Linked DNA regions of Canis lupus familiaris. The protein of the gene in region 3 purifies or fractionates together with the protein of the main gene of each other region. This does not show direct contact. Links are inferred from orthologs where the notes say so. Each region holds a gene or a part of one and is shown on either strand. Other genes may lie near its edges. The genes, in order: SETD1A, DIDO1 and OGT.

Region 1 (3,376 bases), on a different chromosome or scaffold from region 3:
GCCATCCTGAAGACTGGCACTTGAGAGCCGCCGGCCTTCTGGTTCTGAGAGGAAGTCACTACCAGCATAGCCTTCACAAAGATGGCATTGAGCTCGGTGAGCTTTCCCAGTAGGCAGGAGGGGAGAGGCACGTGTGAAAGGCCGCGGCTGTTCCAAGTGGCTGAAACCTAGGAGGGGAAAGGGTTAGTCTGCAACACAGGGTCTGCCCCAGAGAAAGGGCAGTGTAGTCTTGAGCTGTATTCAGGCTCCCACATTCAGTACCAGACTTGAGGGCCCCAGCAGAGGGAGGACAGGTTCCTGTCTGGGGGACTGGGGAGAGAGAATGCCACCTGCTCAAGATGGTGTGTCCCCTCCTCAGACCACTCCCTAACCTTGGGGTCTCACCTTCACCCTCAGCTTCTTTAGGGGAGTCTTCCTGACCCCTCCCCACTTTGGCAAACCCTGGTGCTCCTTGGCAGGTGGTGGCAAGGAAACAAATACTATGCAGTGTTTCAATACAAAGACTCAATGCTTACATTGTATCTTTACCACCTCACTGAACAGAGAACATTGTAGTTGAAATAATGGATACTTTAGTTCAGAGAGGGTTAATTGCATCATCATACCAGGCGGTGGTCCATCCTCTGTGCTCCTAGTCCTTGGACATAATTCAGTCACCACTAGTCTTGGTTAAAAGGATAGAGCTTGGGCAGCTCAGGTGGCTCAGCGCTTTAGCACCTGCCTTTGGCCCAGGGCGTGATCCTGGAGACCCAGGATCGAGTCCCACATCAGGCTCCCTGCGTGGAGCCTGCTTCTCCCTCTGCCTGTGTCTCTGCCTCTTTCTCTCTCTGTGTCTCTCATGAATAAATAAATAAAATCTAAAAAAAAAAAAAAAAAAAAAAAAAAAAGAACTTAAGTGTGTGTCTCCCTAGAGCCCCCACCTCAACTCTCCAGAGTTTGGGCTGGACATTGGTTTCCTGTCACAGTCCCCATTGGACTGTAATCTCTGTGAGGGCTTTGAAAGTGCCCAGCGTGTCGGCCCTATGCCTGACACACTTGTGCTCAGTGAATGTTTGTCGAATATATGAATGAGCAGGTGCAGAACCTCCTGCCAAGGGGAGCCCAAGGTGCAGAGGACTTGTTGCAGCTGTGAGGCAGCAGCATGTTTGCTGGGTGAGCACATGTGTGCCAGAAGCAGAGGAGAGCCTGCAGCCTTGGTGTGGACTCCCCAGTGAGACAGGCCAGTACCCTGCCCGCAAGCTGCTGACCTTCTCTTTTTCCCTGTGTGCTTCCTTCCCCAGGTTCCACTGAGGAACCACCTCCCAGTGTGCCCCAGCCTCCCCCTGAGCCGCCAGCGGGACCCCTGGCCCCCGTTCCCCGCCCTGATGAGCGCCCCTCCTCTCCTATCCCCCTCCTGCCCCCACCCAAGAAACGCCGGAAAACGGTCTCCTTCTCTGCCTTGGAGGAGGTGCCAGCACCAGAGCCTCCCCCAGCCACCCCGCCACAGATCAAGTCTCCTGGCCCTGTGTCCCGCAAAGTCCCCCGGACTGTGGAGCGGACCATTCGAAACCTGCCCCTGGACCATGCATCTCTGGTCAAGAGTTGGCCTGAGGAGGTGTCCCGAGGAGGTCGGAGCCGGGCTGGAGGCCGAGGCCGTTCTACTGAGGAGGAGGAAGCTGACCCAGGGACCGAAGTGGACCTGGCGGTGCTGGCCGACCTGGCCCTGACCCCAGCCCGTCGTGGGCTGACTGCCCTGCCACCAGGTGACGACTCGGAGGCCACAGAGACATCGGATGAGGCCGACCGCCCAGGCCCCCTGCTCAGCCACATCCTCCTGGAACACAACTATGCCTTGGCTGTCAAGCCGCCGCCCTCCACTCCGGCCCCTCGGCCTCTGGAGCCAGTTCCTGCCCCTGCGGCCCTCTTCAGCTCTCCAGCAGATGAGGTCCTGGAGGCCCCCGAGGTGGTGGTGGCTGAGGCGGAGGAGCCAAAGCAGCAGCAGCAACAGCAGCAGCAGCAAGAGGAAGGAGAGGAGGAGGAGGAGGAAGAGGAGGAGTCCGAGTCTTCCGAGAGTAGCAGCAGCAGCAGTAGTGACGGGGAGGGCGCTGTCCGGCGGCGCAGCCTCCGCTCCCACACCCGGCGCAGGCGGCCACCCCCGCCCCCTCCACCCCCTCCACCCCCTTCCTTCGAACCCCGCAGTGAGTTTGAACAGATGACCATCTTGTATGACATTTGGAACTCGGGCCTGGACTTGGAGGACATGGGCTATCTGCGGCTCACGTACGAGCGGCTGCTGCAGCAGACAAGCGGGGCTGACTGGCTGAATGACACCCACTGGGTCCATCACACCAATATCCTGGGCCCTAGAGGCCAGCTTGCTCCGCACAAGAAGGCAGGCCCCAGGGGTGGGGGCAGGCTGCCCTGGGGTCGCACAGCTAGGGAGCAGCCCTCTCACATCGCAGCTAGCGTCTCTGTTTGCCTCCCTCCCTGTTCTCTCTGCCACATTCAGCCTGGTTGTTCTCCTCTGGCCCCCAGGCCATTCTTTTCTCTTTGCCTCTTGCCCCTTCTCTACCTCCCTGAGTTTTTTCTGGCAGAAAAGGTGAGATCTAAGGCTTTCTTCTCTCCATTTTTCTGCCCTCCTCATGCTAAATAATGCTTGGGCCCTCCTGCTAAGGTCAGTCACCCTTTCCATGGGCTGGGACTGGGTGGACCGAGGGGAGAGGGCCCCAGGGATCTGGCCAGCAAGGAACCCATTTTCTTCCTTAACACCCTGCACTCACCAACCTGAGCACTCCAAAACGCAAACGGCGGCCCCAGGATGGGCCCCGTGAGCACCAGACAGGCTCAGCCCGCAGTGAAGGCTATTACCCAATCAGCAAGAAGGAAAAAGACAGGTACCTGGATGTGTGCCCTGTTTCGGCCCGGCAGCTGGAAGGAGCAGACACTCAGGTAAGGCTCTGCCCTCATACCTGGCCCATTGGTGTCACTACTCACGGTTGCCCCTGTCACTTACCTCCCCCCCTGCATCCTGCTTCTCCCAGGGGACTAACCGTGTGCTCTCGGAGCGCCGGTCTGAGCAGCGGCGGTTGCTGAGTGCCATCGGCACCTCCGCCATCATGGACAGTGATCTGCTAAAGCTAAACCAGCTCAAGGTGAGGAGCAGGGACTTAGGGGAAGAGAGGCCCGGTGGGCGGGCAGCATCATGCGGTCTCCTGGGGTTGGGCATGGAGGTGAGTGGCCGAAGCACACTTCTCCCCTTGGAGGACTGCAGCAAAGGCAAGGAGTTAGGTTGAGGGAGGCGCCCAGCAGCACAGCCTGCATTCTGCCCTCTAGTTCCGGAAGAAGAAACTCCGCTTTGGTCGCAGCCGGATCCACGAGTGGGGTCTGTTTGCCATGG
Region 2 (4,357 bases), on a different chromosome or scaffold from region 3:
AAGTGAGTTGCAGCAGGGCCCAGGTATGCCAGACAGTTTTATAAAGGACAAAAAAACAACGGCAACAAACAGGAACGTGAGAAAGCGTTTTGTTGCTTTAAGTAAAGACACGATCCTCCAGAGCGGACAGGCACAGGCCCGGGGAGTACCAGCTGGGCAGCCCTCCACTCCCACTACTTCCTATTCTTCCCCCCCCCCCCCCGTAACCTGTGAGTTGCGGGGCTCACTTAATGCCAGCTAAGTACACGCGAGAGTGCTCCCCTCAATTAAAAAGCTAGACGGTGGAAACGGGGTGGCAAGCGCTGAGCAGCAAAGCCAGCAAGGAGCCACCAAACGGGCGCAGCGGCAGGGAGGTCGGACACACGGCGGGTGAAGGTTCTACGGACGTGTCAACGGTCCTGCTCCGGACTGAATGCAGAGAGATGAACAAGCAGGAGCGCTTGAGACTCGGCCGAAGAGGAAGGCTTGAACAGAGGAACAGGTTGGAGGAGTAGAGCAAGTTTGGGCCGACTCTGACTCCTCGCTGGGAAGGCGAGCCGGCCCCAGGATCACAGGTCCGCAGCTCAGCGCTGGGAACAGTGACAGCGGCCGCACAGGGGCGTGAAGGCCAGGATGCGGCACCGACGGCCCAGGGGGCGCGTGGGGAGGGACGCGCGGGCCGGTGGCGAGGCCAGGAGAGGAGGCCCCGGGGTGCCGGGACGGTGCCGCACGGGGCGCAGAGGGCACACGCGGGGCGCCGGGCCCCGGGGCTCCAGGCCAGCACAGGCGTTGCTCAGACCACGCTCCTGGTCCTGGATGGTCCACGGGAACTAACCGAGGACGCACAGGCAGCCGGCCCCGCGCGGCAGGCGGCGGCGCCCGTCCTCACCGGCTCCGGCTCCGGGCCCGCTCCGCTGGTGGTCATAAACGCCGTCCTCCCCGCGGGGCACAGGCGCGGCGGCTCGCGGCTCCTCGCGGCTCCTCGACCCCGGCCGGCCGCTCTGCGCGTCGGAGCCTTCGCGGGAAGCGCTGTCCCTTTAGGAATAAACGCCCGGTTACAGCGCCCGGCGCCGCGGGGCCCCGCCGACCCGGCCGCGACCCGGAGGCAGTTGGACGTGCGCGCCCGGGAGGCCCCCGCCCGCCCCCGCCCGGGCCGCGTCCCCGCGCGCCTCCCCGGCGCCTCCCGGGCTCCTCCCCGCCCCGCCCCGGCCCGCCGCGCTCCCCGGGGAAGCTCGGCCCGGCCGCCCGGGGCCGCCGCGGCCATCTTACCTGGCGGAGCCCGCCTCCCGCGCTGCGCGGTCTCCACGGCCGCTCGCGGGGCCGGGCCGAGCCGGGAGGGCGGCGGGGCGCGGGGGACGCGCGGCGGAGGCGGGAGCCGCGGCGGCGGCGGGGGCGGGGGCGGGGGCGGGGAGCGGGAGGGCAGACGCACCGGCGGCCGCCCCTCCAGGCACCTCCCGCGAGACCGCGCGAGCGCAGGCCCCGAGCCGGCAGCCAATCAGGAGCCCCCGCGAGGGGGCGGGGCGCGGCGGCCGCCCGGAAGCGCGGGACTCGGGCTTCCGTCCTTGCGCAGAACGGCGCTCGCGGCGCCCTCGCTCTACGGGTTGGCGCGAGAGTCAAAAGGCGTCGGCCGACCCCGGGCAAGATGGCCGCCGTCGAGGTGTCGTTGTGGGGGAACTTCGCGCCGCGATGGCGACATCTAGGCTGAGCCGGAGGCGAAGGTCCCCGCTTCCTCTCCGCGGCTTGTGTGAGCTCGCAGGGCAGGGGCCGCGGGCGAGGGGGAGGGCGGGCGCCGGTGCTGCGCGCCGCCCCGAGGGGCCCCCCCGCCGAGCGCCCGCCGAGCGCGGGCCTGGGAGGGGGCGGCCGAGCGCGCCCCGGGGAGCCCTGCGCGGCGTGGGCCGAGGCGGGCTGCGGGGCGCCGGCGGGGCGGGGAGCGCGCTGCCGCCCGCCGGCTCATGAGTCGACAGAAACGGGCCTGCCCTCGGGGAGCGCGGGGCGCGGGGTCCGCCGGGTCGGGCCGGGGTGCGGGCGCGCGCGAGGCGGCGGGGCCGGGGCCGGGGCGCGGGGGGCGGGGCCGGGGCCGGGGTCGGGCGCCGCGGGCCGCGTGGGGGGGAGCGGGCGGCCGGGGTCGGGCCGGGTCGGGCCGGGTCGGGGTGGGCCCGGGCGGCGCTGCCCGCGCTTCCCGACTCAGAGCCGCCGGGGCAGTGCGGGCCCGTGATGCCAGCCTGTGCAACGCCCTGACCTGTGCCCGCTCCGGATGCCAACCTCGCCGCGTGCGCAGGGGCGCGGATTTTTGAAATTCTTTCCAAAGGGACGCAAGCGAAAGCTTGAGCGCGGTGCCCCGAGGAGGTGGGCCTTGCCGCCCGGGGACGGCCCCTCGGCTCTGGGGCGGCCCCCAGGCTCCCGCGCGCCCGGCCGGTGCCCCCCCCCCCCCGCCCGTGCCCTGCTCCTCACACCCTCCGGGCACTCCCTGATGGCGCGTGCCCAGTGGGCGCAGCCGGGAGGGCTCCCGCCCCCGCCCCCGCCCCCGCCCCTTGCCTCTGCTGCAGCCGCCCTACCTCTCTGCAGGTGCTCGCGGGTGCTCGAGTGGGGTCTCGGGCAGAGCACTTGCAGGCCAACTGCCGGAGATGGGGAGGCCCTCCCTAGACCAAGCTGAGCGCACCGCCCCCGTAGGCCCACCTCGCACCCTGACTCTCCCCGCGTAGCTCTGAGCCCACCGGTTTCTGCCACTGATGGCTGATAACGTTGCAATTTGCCACACACACCTGGGCTGCACCAGAGCCGAGACGTTAGTACCTCGTAGGAGTTCCGTAGGTATCTGTTGAGAACGGGAAGGAGGAAATGAGTGAAGGAGGATAATCGAGAGCAGCTTCCGCAACAGTGGACGCAGGGAGACTTCGCCGAGGGGGGAATGTTTGCAGTCTGGCGATTGAGCCCCTGCGGTGAATGGCACTCAGATGTGCAGCCTGGTTGATGAGGCTCCTGGTGGTGGCACCAGCTGGGCAGACGAGTGGGCTAGAAGGGGGCGGGGGGGCTGGGGAGCCCAGGGTCAGTCTTGCTGGGTTGGAGGTGCCTGGGGGACAAGGCTAAAGTTGAAAGGAGCAGCCGGGGCTGGACGTGAAGGTTTTACGGTGACACCCTGTGACAGTTAACAAACATACTTAGAGAAAGACTGTAGAGAGGAGGAGCAGATAAGTCTAGAATCCAGAAGGACGGCACCAGATGGCCCCTATGCAGAGAAGAGGTTTTCCATTAAGTCAGCAGAGAGGCTTGACAGGGACCAGGGGGTTTAGCAGGTTCTGCAGAAGTGGGGAGTTCTAGAAGATGAGCGGTGTCCAGTGCGGCAGGGCCGTCCTGCAGGCATACTTGACAGGCGTTGGGGACAGAGCAAGGAGCACAGTGACACGGGAATGGAAAATGTTAGACGACAGTGAGTGGAGAGGTGAATAGGGTGAGGGGAGCAGTTTCACACTGGCAGAAGCCTCTGAGGTGGAGAGCAAGCAGCAGGTGAAGTTGATCCCATTAAACCCTGAAGCAACAAGATTTGGTGGCTGAGGGGGAAGGAGAATCTCCAGGCTTCTGGCTGGTGCGTGTGGACTAGGGACACCAGAGAAGGGTCTGGTTGGAGGAGAGAGGTTCAGGAGTCGTGAGCTCATTTTGCACCCGTGGAGATGTTAGGGGAACAGGTCTGGGCAGGGGTAAAGTGGAGCACAGCCAGGAGTGCATGAGCTCCCCTGTGGACAGTAGGTGCGCCTATGGAAGGGAGATCAGGCCAGCCTGCGCCAGCATAAGACCCCTTGTGCTGCTAGGTGTCTGGGGGTGTGGGGGAGCACCGAGGGTGTGGGCCACTTTGGTACAGCCTGGAGCATTGGCCCAGTTGATAGGAAATAGGAGGGTCTGTGGAAGGGGAGCAGCCAGGTGGCCAGAACCTCCACTATCCTCCAAGCCCAGGTGGAGACTTCCCTTGTAATAGGTTAGCGGTTCTTTACAGACGAGTGTTAAACACTTACTAGGCTTACGAGAGCATTAAAAGTGTTTTTGAAAAGGGAGGAGTATCTGAAGAATAAAATACACAGTGTTGCCTTTACTCAAATCCTGGATTGCTCAATAACCAGGCTGTGGGCTGTGTGTTACAGAATGACAGCATTTCCGCGGATGTTTTTATCTTATTTGCAAAACCCAAAAGCATAAAATCAAGCCCCTACACACTGAATGCCCTGCTTTGAAAGAGATTTGGTGAAAACAAACTAATTCTCAAGGATAATATGTAAACTGACCAGTTGCTGCTCAGAGTCATCGGAACATGAGGCAGTCAGCACCAAGAGGTCAACTTCCGTTGCATTAGCCTTTTACGGTGTGTTCAGTTTCTTGGTGAAAGTGT
Region 3 (3,643 bases):
CCTTTTAGACTAAATTATTCCTTTGATCTGATTCAGAAAGCTAAGTAAATCCTCACTTTTGACTTTTTTTTTTTTGTTAGAGGAGAGCTGATTTCTTATGTGGAAATAGGAAATTTTTCAGTTTAGAAATACATATTTTATTAAGGTGAAATTTTGATACGAGGTTAAGTATAGTATAGCTTGGATTAATTACAATTAATTGATATACTTTGGTATAGTATAGCATGAATTAATTGTACCAGAGCATCCATTAAAAGTTAGTTGCATTGTGTGTGTGTGTGTGTTTTTTTTATTTACAGAGCTGTGGCAGCTTACCTTCGTGCCCTAAGCTTGAGTCCAAATCATGCGGTGGTGCACGGCAACCTGGCTTGTGTATACTATGAGCAAGGCCTGATAGATCTGGCAATAGACACCTACAGGCGAGCTATTGAACTGCAACCACATTTTCCTGATGCTTACTGCAACCTAGCCAATGCTCTCAAAGAGAAGGGCAGTGTAAGGACATTTATTCAGTCTACTTTTTTGTTACCTGGTAGGATTAAAAAGCCGTTGTTGTACCTATTGTGATTAAGTATTGAAGTGGCAAATTGTTTTACTTTTGAGTTTTGGTTGAGAGGAGAATGGCAAAAATACCTATTTTCTAGAATATTACCAGCCATCAGGCTTAACTAAGCAGTTGTTAGAATAACATCCGTGGTGGCTCTGTGATTCCTCCATTATAGGTTTTGAATAATTTGTTTTGTTTTCTAGGTTGCTGAAGCAGAAGATTGTTACAATACAGCTCTCCGGCTGTGTCCCACCCATGCAGACTCTCTGAATAACCTAGCCAATATCAAACGAGAACAGGGAAATATTGAAGAGGCTGTTCGCTTATATCGGAAAGCTTTGGAAGTATGTTCAGGGTGGTGTGGCTGAATATCTTGTCTATGTGATAAGAGAGGAAAGGCAGTTAAAGATTGACATGTCATCCACCTCTTTTTGTAAAAATAGTGGTTGAATAATTCATTGACCCAGTAATTGAGTATCTAAGGTATGAGTGAAGGCCTATGTGATAGTCAAGAAAGTCTCTATATTGCATTCGTTATTTTATAGGTAGATCTGCACAGAAAAATTAACCGTAAGTTACAGTTCAAGAGAGGTTGTTAATAAATATATCATTTTAGTGCCTGATGGCTGTAACGGTGACTGGTGGGTATGGTTGGAGTTTAAGAGCAAGAGATTTCAGGAGAGAGATACTAGAGTAATCAGCATAAACTAGGATGAGGAGAGAGCTACCTCATCATGTTTTTCAGCAAGGAGAGGTACAAAATGAAGAGGGAGAATTTGAGGTACGCAGCTTTGAAGAATGAGTAGACTGGGAGAAGGTAGATAAGTGTAGGGATATAAAGGTACTTACTTACTGTGGTAAGTTGTTATTGCTGGTATAGAAGTTTTTTTTAAACCTCAGATACCATCTTGACTCTGTAGGTCTTCCCAGAGTTTGCTGCTGCCCATTCCAATTTAGCAAGCGTATTGCAGCAGCAGGGAAAACTTCAGGAAGCTCTGATGCATTATAAGGAGGCTATTCGGTAAGACCCTCACTGGTTTTTTTTTTTTTAATGTTTTATAATGTTTGGCATTTGACACATTTGGCTTGTGTTAAATGACTTTTAAGAACAACAGACTAATATCACAGGGAGTTAACAACTTTTGTCCTAAAGAAGATCTTTGTTTTCTCTTTTAGAATTAGTCCTACCTTTGCTGATGCCTACTCTAACATGGGAAACACTCTAAAGGAGATGCAGGATGTTCAGGGAGCCTTGCAGTGTTATACTCGTGCCATTCAGATTAACCCTGCATTTGCAGATGCCCACAGCAATTTGGCTTCCATTCATAAGGTACTATTGTTTATTATAATACGTGTATCTAAACACCTAATGTTTAATTTTAAGAAGACTTTCAACCATCCCACTTTGTGTATTTCCAGGATTCAGGGAATATTCCAGAAGCAATAGCTTCTTACCGCACTGCTCTGAAACTGAAGCCTGATTTTCCTGATGCTTATTGTAACTTGGCTCATTGCCTACAGGTAAAGAATAATAGGCCAGTAATTGGCTTTCAGTGTTGCGATCACTTTCTTTTTTTTTCTTTTTTAAAGATTGTATTTATTTATTCATGAGAGACAGAGAGAGAGAGAGAGAGAGAGAGAGAGAGAGGCAGAGACACAGGGAGAGGGAGAAACAGGCTCCATGCAGGGAGCCCAACGTGGGACTCGATCCCGAGACTCCAGGATCACACCCTGGGCTGATAGCGGTGCCAAACCACTGAACCACCTGGGCTGCCCTACAATCACTTTCTAATTGTTCTGTGTGCCGCATTGATCCAAACCTGGCTGGAGATTTTTTTTTTAATATTTTATTCATCTATTTATGAGAGACCGTGAGAGAGGCAGAGACACAAGACAGAGGGAGAAGCAGGCTCCATGCAGGGAGCCCGATGTGGGACTCGATCCCAGTACTCCGGGATCATGCCCCGGGCCAAAGGCAGGCACTAAGCCACTGAGCCACAAAGGGATCCCCAAGAGATGGTGTTTTTTAAAGGGTTATCTGATGTTACATTAGGCCAAAGACCTATAAAATGTTAAATCTTGGAAAAGGGTTTTCTGGATAATAACTTCTTTTTGTCTCCTCTAGATTGTTTGTGATTGGACAGACTATGATGAGCGAATGAAGAAGTTGGTCAGTATTGTGGCTGACCAGTTAGAGAAGAATAGGTTGCCATCTGTGCATCCTCATCATAGTATGTTATATCCTCTTTCTCATGGCTTCAGGAAGGCTATTGCTGAGAGGCATGGGAACCTCTGCTTGGATAAGGTGCGATTGTTTTAAACTTTCTGTTGCAGAGTAAAATACAGATGCGGAAAATGACGCAAATCATACGTATGTAGGTTAATGAGTTATCCACTCATTAGGTGTACACTACCCATGTTAAGAAATGAGACTTTGTCAGCCACCCCAGAAGCCTTTTCCATTGTCTGTCTCGATCGTAACCCCTTCTGTCCCCTAAGAGAATCATAACAATAGATAGATGGTGTTTTCCTATAGTTTGAAAACCATAACGTTTAATAAGGTGTTTGGTATTTTGTACTCTGCTTTGAAAATTAGAGCACTACTTGTGGAAAGGTGGAAATTTGCACAGCAGAATAGATTGGCGTGCTAGATGTAATTCTGTTTAAAAAAAAAACGCTTCTCTACAGAATTTTCTAAAATGCAGGGTTTATCATACTCTGCACTGCCTCCTGTCTCCAAGTTTTATTTTTTTATTTTTATTTTTTTAAGATATTACTTATTCATGAGAGATACAGAGAGAGGCAGAGACACAGACAGAGGGAGAATCAGACTCCCTGCGGGGAGCCTAATGTGGGGACCCTATCCCAGGACTCCAGGACTGCGCCCTGGGCTAAAGGCAGGCGTTCAACTGCTGAGCCACCCAGGTGTCCCTGTTTCCAAGATTGATTGATTGATTTAAAGATTTTATTTCTTAATTCATGAGAGATACAGAGGGCAGAGAGGCAGAGACAGGCAGAGGGAGAGGGAGAGGCAGACTCCATTCAGGGAGCCCGATGTGGGACTCGATCCCGGGACTCCGGGATCATGCCCTGGAC

Evidence for each region.
Region 1: the proteins of OGT (region 3) and SETD1A purify together in Homo sapiens (affinity purification with mass spectrometry; 4 studies listed by BioGRID and IntAct, with this or other methods). This does not show direct contact. The link is inferred for Canis lupus familiaris from reciprocal best matches to the Homo sapiens genes OGT and SETD1A.
Region 2: the proteins of OGT (region 3) and DIDO1 purify together in Homo sapiens (affinity purification with mass spectrometry; 3 studies listed by BioGRID and IntAct, with this or other methods). This does not show direct contact. The link is inferred for Canis lupus familiaris from reciprocal best matches to the Homo sapiens genes OGT and DIDO1.

The regions. Positions count from the first base shown.
Region 1 is NC_049227.1:17,389,380-17,392,755, reverse strand, and holds part of SETD1A (histone-lysine N-methyltransferase SETD1A), read left to right. Parts: intron 1-1,280; coding exon 1,281-2,330; intron 2,331-2,755; coding exon 2,756-2,928; intron 2,929-3,020; coding exon 3,021-3,131; intron 3,132-3,312; coding exon 3,313-3,376. UniProt on the Homo sapiens protein: Histone methyltransferase that catalyzes methyl group transfer from S-adenosyl-L-methionine to the epsilon-amino group of 'Lys-4' of histone H3 (H3K4) via a non-processive mechanism.
Region 2 is NC_049245.1:47,587,265-47,591,621, reverse strand, and holds the start of DIDO1 (death-inducer obliterator 1), read left to right. Parts: upstream 1-1,553; 5' UTR 1,554-1,723; intron 1,724-4,357. UniProt on the Homo sapiens protein: Putative transcription factor, weakly pro-apoptotic when overexpressed. Tumor suppressor. Required for early embryonic stem cell development.
Region 3 is NC_049260.1:56,034,327-56,037,969, forward strand, and holds part of OGT (UDP-N-acetylglucosamine--peptide N-acetylglucosaminyltransferase 110 kDa subunit), read left to right. Parts: intron 1-299; coding exon 300-495; intron 496-750; coding exon 751-891; intron 892-1,467; coding exon 1,468-1,568; intron 1,569-1,723; coding exon 1,724-1,877; intron 1,878-1,966; coding exon 1,967-2,068; intron 2,069-2,672; coding exon 2,673-2,852; intron 2,853-3,643. UniProt on the Homo sapiens protein: Catalyzes the transfer of a single N-acetylglucosamine from UDP-GlcNAc to a serine or threonine residue in cytoplasmic and nuclear proteins resulting in their modification with a beta-linked N-acetylglucosamine (O-GlcNAc).